Linked DNA regions of Drosophila melanogaster. The protein of the gene in region 2 interacts with the protein of the main gene of each other region in a pairwise test. Each region holds a gene or a part of one and is shown on either strand. Other genes may lie near its edges. The genes, in order: nst and beta-Spec.

Region 1 (5,687 bases), on a different chromosome or scaffold from region 2:
TCCGCGTATGAAACGCACTAGCCGGTGTTCCGGGAACTTACGTCTTCCGCGTCCATTGTGTCTGGGCTGTTTGAATACTAGTTGACTGGAAACTAATTTTGTTTTAACTAAAAAAACTGCAATTGCATCAGCCAAAGTGACAGCACGGCAATCAGACGGTGTGACCGGCTGAGTTTTAGACGAGTAAACCATCCGGCATGCGAAAATATACTTTTAATACCATTTGCATAGATATACCGAGTATTAATAATATTCAAGTAAAACTTTTTTATAAACAATTGCTAAATTAGTTAGCTAAATTAGATAACTTTCGAACTACGAACAGTTAACATTCAATAACTCAACTCGACTTTTGAACGTATGCTTTAATTAACACAAGTATAACAGTTTTGAAGTATTTGCTTACATTGTAACAGTTAACAGTAGTCCTTATCAATTACTGTCCTACATGTCTCCGCTACTGACCGCCAGATGGCGCGTTTCAATTCTGCCAGCTCCATTAACATTTATTAAAATGTTAAGTTTAAAAATAAAAGTTGGCAAAATTTTAATTTATTTGCCGGGACAGTGATTTAAATTTGCCATAAATTGTGCGTACAGCATAGTAAATTCCAAATGAAGTGAAAACTGATTTATATTCGACCTAAAGTAAAAGGATCTTTAGATTGTTTAAAAAATACTTTTATAGAAAATAGCAATACAAACTTGATTAGGTTCATTAATCTCTACTATCAATTCTTTTATAATTTCAATAGTTACCGCTAGCAGCTCAACAAAAAAATCAACGTAGCGGTTGCATTTTCATTAAATTCTTCAATTACAAAATAGCGAAGGACATAAAATTGCAACTTTCACAATGTACATATGTATAAATAAACTTGAAAAGAACTTTATAAATAATGGCAAAAAATATGTCATCTTTAGAACACAAAAGACAGTGAACATTTGCAGAATAAATGCGTTTGAGAGTTAAGTTGTTTTTTTTTTAAGTTATTGAGCACCTTAGAGTAAAGAGATTTATTGCTCCATCCAGGATCTGTGTCAATTGTCGATTCCCGTGAGAGGTTAGTTCGTCATTCCGCTCTACAGGTGGGCACTGCTGTTGGGCTTCGTCAATGGGGGGCCAACTCCGCCGGCCAGTTTCTGGACCAGCAGACCCACTTCGTAGGCAAGATTATCGGTGTCCTGTCGTAAAAAAAAGATAGTAAGTAGAGTGTTTTGATCTAGTGCTAAGAGTTAACTTATAAGCCTTACCTCTTTGGTGGCTGCTTCGGCATAGACGCGCACCACATCCTCGGTGCCCGAGGGGCGAACGAAGGAGCGTCCCCGCTTGTATTTCGCCACCACCTGGTTGATTTCCGTCTGCAGACCTTCGGGCTTTACGCACACGCGTTCCGCATCCGTCGTCTCGATGACATTGCGATCCTGCACCTTCACCTTTAGCTGTCGGTTGGGCAGATCGTTGTACGACGAGATCCAATCCTGGACATCCCAGCCCTTGTGATTTAGGATTGTTTCCACCAGCAGCATGTCGGATATGGCATCGCCCACGGTCTCGTTGATAAGATCGATGAGCAGCAGCAACGTCTTGGCACTCTCCTTAGTTTGGGCCACCTGGGCAATCGTCGCCTTAGCATTGTCACTGAACACAATCGTTCCGTGGCCATTCGCCTCGAAGTAAACACCAATGTCGTACTCCAAGGCCTTGTGGTGCAGGTGCTTCACGCCCGTGGGTACGCACGAAACGGGAAACTTCAGCTGGTCCACTATGTAGTCCGTGGATGCACCATTGGCGTAGGCAGTTTGCACCAGGCCCAGCCGTAGGCTAATCTCGGATTGTGTGACCAGTTCCATGAGATAGCCGGCGATTAGGGTGGCTATGCGATCGCCATCGAGCAGATGGAACTCACCCTTGTCGTCGGTAAAGAAGTACACCACCCGATCGGCATCGCCATCCACGCTGACGCATCTCGTGTACGGCTTCACATCCTCGGGCATGGATTTCGGCGGACTTTGCTGCACCTTCACGTAGTCGGCGCCGCAGTCCTCGTTGATCTTGCCGACACCGATGCCCTGATTAATGACCGTCACGTTGAGGGTGCCCTTCATGCGCTTGATGAACTGCAGCATCTTGCGCGCACCCACACCGTTGGCACCATCGTAGATGATGCTATTGCGATAGTTGCCGTTCTCCAGGCGCCCGTTGCGCAGCAGTTCGAATGCCTTGATCAGCTTGTCGTAGTAACCCTCCTCGGTGGGCTTGCCGTATGCCTCCTTGGTATTCGCCGCCACCACGAAGTAGTGCAGCATGGGTGTGGTCACAATGCCGTACTCCTTGACGTTACCCTTTAGCGCTATCACGCCATCGGCCACCGCTTTCAGCAGCCGCGGACTGTGGTATCTGTTGTCCATGCCCACAAACACCTGGGAACTGGTCGTCACATCGATATTGTTGTCCTTTATGATCTTGGCCACCTGCTGCTCCAGCTCCTGGTCGCTGACGTTGACCAGATCGGTGGCTATCGCCTCCCAGCTGGCCTCCAGCATCTCGCCCTTGGGATCGACCAGCTTCACTCCGTTGTCCGGCTCCGGATTGTGCGATGCCGTGATCATCACACCGATGACGGAGCCTCCGCGATACCGGGAACGCAGGGTGGCCAGAACGCCCATGCGGAACATCACGCTGTCCAGGAACTCAGCCCTAAAAAAAAAATGCGGAGTTATTACATCAGGATTTTGTTTAGATACAAAAGTATCTTTTAGCTTGTATTTTGGAGTTGGAAAATGTTTTGTACCTAATGTTGTTTGTTTATATGTGTGTTATCACTTTAGCTATCTATTTTATCTTCGCTGGATTGATAAGCCTATAGAAGCACTGTGTATTGCTCATTTTAGGCGTTGCAATTGCTTTTATCAGTAGGTGTGTCATGGAAACTTTGTTATCTGGCTGTAAAGTGGTTAGAAAATAAGGGCGCGGAAACCACAAACTATGTAATCAAATACTTAGTTGGTTCATTTTTCACAAATAACAAGTTATTAATCATTGAGATTTGAAAATATTGCAACTTGCACATGTGGCACTAGTTCGCTGCCCGCGACTGTGCGTCAGTATGTATGCACATATGCACATGCACGCACACTTACGCACATACAGGCAGACATAACGGCGAAAGAAGGGCATGTCCATTGATAAAAGGTGAACAATATCTAAAAATAAACGCCAAATTCCAACATCACAGCCCTGCAACCGCCCATTTATCAAAAAAAAAAAAAAACCACCAACAATCGCCGTGTGCTAATCAAATGCGCCAACGTGTGCATCGTGTGGGTGTGTTAGCATAATGATTATGATGATTATTAAGATCGTTAATGGAGGCAACTACTCACTTGCCGCGAAAGCCAGCTGTTCCATATTGGATGGTCTCCTTGGAGGTCTTTGGGTACATCTCGCGGGCGAAGGCGTAGACGGTGCGCAGGTTAATAGACATCTTGCGATACTCGAGGGCGGTGCCACTGGTCCAGAGCGAGGTGAAAGGTTCCGTCCGGTTTTTCCGGACTTTCGAAATTTAACAATTCCACAGATGTGTGCAGGCGGGTGTGACCGTCGTTTCGCGGCACTGTTCCACCCTTGCTTATGCGGCCAAGCGGTCACACTGCGCTGAAACTTGTAACTACGCTATTTTCTTTAATTTCAAACATTTTACTGGCTTTATAAACAATACAGAGTGTTTTAAGGTTAAATGCAATATTTACCAGCGTAAATTTCAATAACATCTATGTTTCAAAGCGATGTTAGCGCACATATTCAATTTGAATTTGGCGGCTACAATTGCGGTCAAGATATTAGGATTCTTCAAATGATACTAATTCAAAATAAGCAAAATAACTCCTTTATCTAGTTATTTTATTTGTATACTTACATAAGCGGTTGTAAAAGATTCGGCTTACATCTCCTAGGTACATTTTTTGGACGGTCTTAGTTGGTATGTACACAAACAAATACTATAATAAGGCACAGGACTTTATAAATTATAAACTATAGCCTTCAACAGATATTTTTCGGCTAGTTAGAGTTTCATTTTCGGACGGAAGGGATTTCACATTTAACTTAATCATATTTGGAATGTAAAAATGTTGATATGTTTTCTCTTTGTGCTAGAGATGCTTGTAGAATTCTGAAATCTAAGTGAGTCTAGTGGCTTAGAGCATTGCAACCAGCGAACCCACGAGGAGCAGGCCCACGGATAATGCCAACTGGGAGGCACCAGCATAGCAGTCGGTGATGCGGCGTGCTCGCATAAAATCGCTGCCCAAATAGGCATCATACCTGCGCTTATTGGGCGGAATTACTTGCAGCTGCCGCGTGGCGTCCTGGAAGATCAGATCATAGTGCCCGATCGGCGAGGAGAACATGCTGAAACTGAAGGCGTCCACTTCCTTGCGACCGTACAGTTGTTGGGCATAGGTCAGCAGATTGATGTAGGCATTCATCTGGGTCTCGTTGTAGTTGACTCCGCCGCGGGTGACCACAGCATTGGCCTTAACCTTGCCCAGATTGCAGCGCTTGTAGTCCTGGATCTCGGCACGAGTACCATCCGTGCAGAGCAGCTCAAAGTCATCGTTTAGGGCATTCCTGGCCCACCATTCCTTGCGTTTGCCGCCCGTGCTTTCCATCACCGTGGTGTGCTTCATGAAGGCCACGTGACCGCCGCCCTCGACGAGGCAACGGAATGCACCCGTGTGCCCGTAGTATTCCTCGGAGGCATCGCGACGACAATAGCGATAGCTAGTTCCATGACACAGATCGCACATGCTGTCGTAGGGCACACCGGTGTTGTACTCATTGCTAATGGCACCCGGCACGCACGACTTGGTGAAGTACTCCGCGGCAGCTCGAACCGAATCGCATCCGTAGGGACGAATCCAGCCGTTCGAGATGAAAAGCGCCATCGGATATGTCCAGCCAGCGGCGGTGTTAATGCCCGTATGGCAGGTATTCTTACCCTTCAGGTAAGTTAGCTCCGTATCGGGATCATCCTCCTTGGCCACGGCAACCACATAATACTCGGGCTCGCCCAGATTGTACACCTCCGACATGAAGGGCACCAGGTCGTAGTTGAGGCCACCAGTGTAGACATCGCCGGCATCGAAAACGGAGATGTCTGCTTTGCCCGCTTCGATGAACTGCATGCAGTTGATGTGGGAGTGCATTTTCTTGCAGATGAGTTCTGGTTTCAGGAGGTGAGCTTTCAAGGCAGTCTAAAAGTGTTTTTGTAAAGGATCATCAACTCATCTTGCTATCCATATATTCACTCTTCAACTCACCCTCATCTTGATGCATTTATCAAGCTCATTCTCCGAAGTCACGCAAAGCGTCATCGCTGGAACTGGACACTCACGGATGCCGTAGATAAAGTTAATGGCAGGGCCTAGGTACTTGGTAAATGACTGATCATCTTCGGGAATCACGGTTAGAGCGCGACTAGAATCCTGTCACAAAACAATTGAATGTTAAGTATGTATTTCGGATCACGGAAAATATGATCCACTTACCTGGAACAGCAAATTTGGCTTGCCATAGCGCTTCGACTCGAAGATGCGGAACTTCTCATAGAGTATGGAAGTGTTCGTGCCGTCCTGCTGGTTTCTTTCCTCTGCAAAACTGCTGTCCAATCGTTCGCTGCGAT
Region 2 (5,257 bases):
TTACTGAGGGTTTGCTTTATATGCGGGTTTCATTCATTTAGGGGTGTCATCCATGTAAATGCACCAGTGGTTATTGTATTTAATTGTTATTTAATGGCTCATTCATTGACAAATAGTTTACTGTTGGCCCTCAAAGAGGTGCATTAAACAAATTCTTGTTATTGATTTTATAACTATAAATACTTGCTCTTTTTTTTATAATTAGACTAACAATAAAAAGGCACAAAAAGTATATAACGTCGTAGCTAATAAGTTTTAGCTTGAATGCTAAAGTTCGCTGCTATCTTTATGACCTCAACTGTGAACACACATCGCACATTTCACATTTTCATAAATCATATTCATGCTGGGCCCATTCAGTTTCCATTTTTCCATCGGCGAGCTTTTTGTTTTACGGGACACACGTATGTCTATCACTCATTTACATGGGCTTGTATACTAGTATTTCACTGGTTTTTTATCGACGTAGCCGACGATTTGAAATTACGACCTATTCACACGGCAGTTGGCCCTCGAAAATTCATTCGGTTTCACACATCGCAGCGTTTTTCACACTTTTGCAAGCTTTTAGGTTGCAATGAAAATGGGCGAAGTACTTGGGCTGTACTTTTTCCACTTGACATATTTTTTTGTTTTTTTATTGCCGCACTTTCTCCGCGGCTTTCACATTACAAATTAGGAGAACACAGTACTTAATTCAGAACTCAAAATTTCCCCAAATAAAATACTGCCTCTACAAAATTTTAGTAAATTATTAGAAATATTATGTCAGTTCATGTTTTCAACTTTTATTCATTCACAATATTTTATTTACAGTAAATGCAATTCAGTATGATATTTTTGAAAATTATTTGTAAGATGAATAATGAATTCTTTAATGAATGACCGCAACTCGATTAGAATAACAATTTAATTGCTTGATTAATGGAATTAAGTAATATAAGCTTGCCGACCTAGGACAAAAATAGAATCACTGATTGAATCAGGCCCCTTTTGCTGTGTATAACAGTGGGTTTTTGTGCTAATGTCCTTTGACCTTTATATACATTCGCGTTTGCACAGGTGCCGGGGTCATTCCCTTCTACGCACACAACAACAACAAAAGCAGCAAACATAACTTTTTCCCATCGCTTCGTTATCGCCCTCCTCTACTCTTCGTTCTTCGCTCTTCCTCTTCTCGCTTACACAATTAACTAAGCTGCTGATTTCATTTGTACTAAGTTTTATGAGAGCACCGCGACAACAACACCCAAAATGAAGAACATCAAGAACCATAGTGCGAGCGAGAATTGTTAAAACAAACAAAAGCAAAATCAGCACACACGCACACGCACGCAGCAGCTTCTATCTTAGTATTACGTAATATTTTTATTAAAACGAAGCTTAAAACTTTGAGAGAGCGAGAGCGAGCAACAACAAAACTGGAGCGCAGAGCGATAGATAGAGATGGAGAGAGGAGAAAGAGAAAGAGGGAGAGTACTATTGTATCTATATATCTGTATCTGGAAGGTGGTGCAGTTAGAGTAGGAGTGCTGGAAGTGGAAGTGAGCAAGGGATAGAGGGGTGGAAACTGCACAAGACGCTCTCACGGGCTAGCTCTCTTCCCCTTACACACCCCAACCACCCACCCCACCTTACCACCTTCAATTGTTGGTGCTTTCTAGACTTAATTATGATGGCCGATCCGATCCTCTTGTTTCCAGTGTGAGTTCATCACAGAGAGCGATGAAGAGAGACACAGTGTGAGCGGAAGAGAGAGAGCGGGGCGTGTGTGCAACTGCGAGTTCAATTAAACAGGCCAAGAGTTCAACTTTGGAAACTTGGAAATGAAACCACCACCAAAGCTGAGGCTTTGCTAAGGAAAAACCAGTTTTCCCTGCCATTTATGAGCAAGTTAATGAGTTTTCGGCGATCAATTGATTGAATGCCTGTATGTTTGTAGGTTTGTGTGCGGGTGTGTGTGTTGTGTTTACAACTGTACGTGTGTGATTTGTCATAAACAACAACAATGCAACAACATCAGCGACAAGGTGAAGCACAAACAAACACATAAGCAAACAAACATTGGGCAAGTGCAGCTCAGTATATTTATATCTTTTAACTCGTAACTTCGAAATGAAACTTCAACTCGTGACCTCAGAGGGCCGGGTGGGTGAGAAGAGCGGGGTGCAAGGGAAATGGGAAATGGGGAGTGTGTGTTATTTTTAGCCGATGTGTTGGTGAGCACGTAACTGTATTTCAGCCAAGTGCATAGGCGTATGCGTATCTACGGGGAAGAAAAAAGAGCGCACCGCTTGTATTTCATAAAACTCACAAGCACACGGAACCTCAACGTATGATACACATGTATATATATATATATATCTCCGATTAGGCGATAGCCGTGTTCTTCGCTTTTTATCACCAACGGAACGAACAACTGACGCAAACGTTACTTAAGGCTTGCGCTTCTTCTTCTTGCACAGCAACATGTCATTCATGCGTTTAATTCACAGCTCTAGAGTTTCGGTCCTGCCATTCAGGCACATTTACACCAAGTAATTTAAAAAATAAAAAAAAAAATGCGAACTACACTCGTCCAATTCGATTACTCGAACAAACATACACACACACTCACGCACGCTACGCGCTCTCAACGAAAACCGAATGATGTCATCATCGGTGGCAGAGACAGCGACGCCGGCAGCGACGGCGACAGCGTCGAAATATATGAGTTAGCAGGCAATTTTAATCGATGATGTTTTTATTATGTACGTAGAAATGTATGCGAGAAATCACTTGCTTTTCATATTTTAGCACACTTCTAATTCTCAAACCAAAAACACACACACAGGCACACCAAGAGTAAGAGTCGCTCACACATTCGTTAGATACTTTTTGCTCTCTTTTGCCACTTCTGCCTTTTATTGGTGGCTCCTTTTTCGTGGCCTATTCACTTGGGCGTTGGTCTATTTCACATTTTCCCCGTTCGACCGCTTGCGTTTCGAATTTCGCGCCGTTTTTACTGCACTGCGGCGACTTTCACTTACCTACTCGATAATTTTGCAGCTCCGCTCGCCCTAATTGATTCATAAAACACAGTTAATTTCATAGATTTAGCACGTTCAACTAAAAATCTTCGGTCTGGCGGATGAACTTCACTTGGCGAGAATGGAAAAAATGTATGTATTCAAAACATCGCGTTGCGAACGAGTGAACGAAGTGAACCAGCGCGAGAAGGCGCTAAAAAACGCCTACTGCGCAGTGTGGCCGTGCCACATGATCTGGCTATAAATTAGCCAAAACGGTGGAACTTAAGATTTTTATATATTATTTAACTTAAATATTCCTTCATATTTGTATAACCTAATATTACATAAACAATTGTTTACGCCACATGTACTCTATTACTTCGAGCTATTTAAATAATATTAATTAAATTTTTATCAGAACCAAAATGTTCTTATTTTCCTAAGATTTTCGTTACAGAAATGCTTATATACAAACATAACTTATTTATATTTAACTTTTTTTAATATGTTGGCTTTTTGGGAGAATATAAGCCTTATTGCTAATAATAACAGTAAAGATTTTACTAACTTAATAGTACTAATAGTTGTTAGCCTCTTGCAATAATTGTTAATATTTTTCTTTAGCTGCGCATCTCTTTGTTAACCTTCACCTATGAGAGCAGTATAGTATTTTTATAATAATAAAATAATAAAATGTAGTAATTGCTGGTATATTTGCAGCCTCTCCAACTGGCCACACTGACGTGTGTTGATTTTTTGGATGCGGATCGCAGTGGATTCTCGGATTCTCCGGCATTCCCTGCCCCAACTACAGATCGCCGAGATTAAAGCAGACCCGCGCCGGCATCTCCAGCACGGACACCCCGCCGGCCAGGCCAATAGAGCGGGACAACCGAGCACACGAGCATTGCCGGGTGCAACAAGTTGGAACGCAACGACAACGACGACGAGGACAAAATGCCGGTGAGGATGTACGATGTATCGCCGCGCGTTTTCTGCGCCATGCAGAATCTGGACATCACCCTGCTGGCCAGCTATCCGGAGGCGGAGATTCGGCCCGTGCTGCCCTCGCTGGTGCGGATGAGCCTGCTATCGCCACTGGACAACACCGAATCGTCGATGGAGTCGCGCAAAGAGATCCTGGCCGTGCTCATCGGCATCGAGGTGGTGAACAGCATCGTCTCCTACCTGCAAGTCAACTACCATGAGCTGGAGAATGAGCTGAAGAAGGAGCTGCAGGCCCGCCAGAAGTCGGCCTTCTTCGAGGGACAGCAACACGAGTACGGCCTCCAGTCGGGCATCGCACTGGGCTTTGAGCGGGCGGATGTGGCGCGCAAGGTGCGCGTGGTGCTCTCCGAGATCTTCAATCTGCAGCAGCAGGTCTCCGAGCAGAAACCGGCCGCCCATTCGGAGATGCTGGACGACGGCATCTATCTGGAGGAGGTGGTCGACATTCTGTGCATTGCTCTCGCCGAGCTGCCCTCCCTGCTGAACATACTGGAGCTAACGGACGCCCTTGTCCATGTGCCCAACGGACATCGCATCATCTGCGCACTGGTCGCCAACTTTCCGGATTGCTATCGCGACGTTGTGTCCCATGTGATCGCCAATTGCGACGAGGATGGCAGCGATGGCAAGCACCGGTTAATGCTGCTCATGGGGCTCAGCGAGATGAATCCCTCCCAGGCGCTGGCCAACAGGTCCATGTGCGTGGATATGCTGAAGGTGCCGTCGTTTATGCTTAAGCTCACGCTCAAGCATCCCGAGGATCTGGTGAGTAGGGTAATATTGACCAGTAAGGTGCAGATTTACCACAACACTATAATCGTTAGGAAATTCTTTGCATTTCATTTAAATTTAACGTACATAAGAAATGTTTTTTGATCATATTTTGTTGATTGATCTTTTTTGTTTGGAGTACCATTCATTTGGAGTTCTGCTTATTTTTGTGTAACATGTGTTAAGCAAAAGCAAAAGCGAGAAAATGTTGCTTAGCTATCTCGCTCTAATTCGCTAGAGCGATTGAATCTTATTTGGACGTATGACAATATTTACGAATAATGAGATAACAATGCAAACTTCAACCACTCCCCACAGATAGCCTTCCTCACGGGCCTGCTGCTGGGCAATGACCAGAATCTGCGCTCCTGGTTCGCCGCTTACATCCGCTCCAGCCAGAAGCGGAAGGGGGACGCACTGAATCTGGTGCGCGTGGAGCTGCTACAGAAGGTGATTCAAACGACGAC

What was found.
Region 1: the proteins of beta-Spec (region 2) and nst interact in a two-hybrid assay, tested with the Drosophila melanogaster proteins (one large-scale study listed by BioGRID).

What each region holds. Positions count from the first base shown.
Region 1 is NT_037436.4:12,526,548-12,532,234, forward strand, and holds nst (nesthocker), read right to left. Parts: upstream 3,625-5,687; 5' UTR 3,489-3,624; coding exon 3,388-3,488; intron 2,702-3,387; coding exon 1,255-2,701; intron 1,186-1,254; coding exon 1,084-1,185; 3' UTR 668-1,083; downstream 1-667. Other genes in the region: eIF2beta (eukaryotic translation initiation factor 2 subunit beta), read right to left, coding at 42-56; Tsf2 (transferrin 2), read right to left, coding at 4,201-5,259, 5,326-5,490, 5,554-5,687.
Region 2 is NC_004354.4:17,655,310-17,660,566, reverse strand, and holds the start of beta-Spec (beta spectrin), read right to left. Parts: upstream 3,196-5,257; 5' UTR 3,034-3,195; exon of another isoform or gene 3,030-3,033; intron 1-3,029. Other genes in the region: IntS2 (integrator 2), read left to right, coding at 3,969-4,784, 5,109-5,257. UniProt on the Drosophila melanogaster protein: Spectrin is the major constituent of the cytoskeletal network underlying the erythrocyte plasma membrane. It associates with band 4.1 and actin to form the cytoskeletal superstructure of the erythrocyte plasma membrane.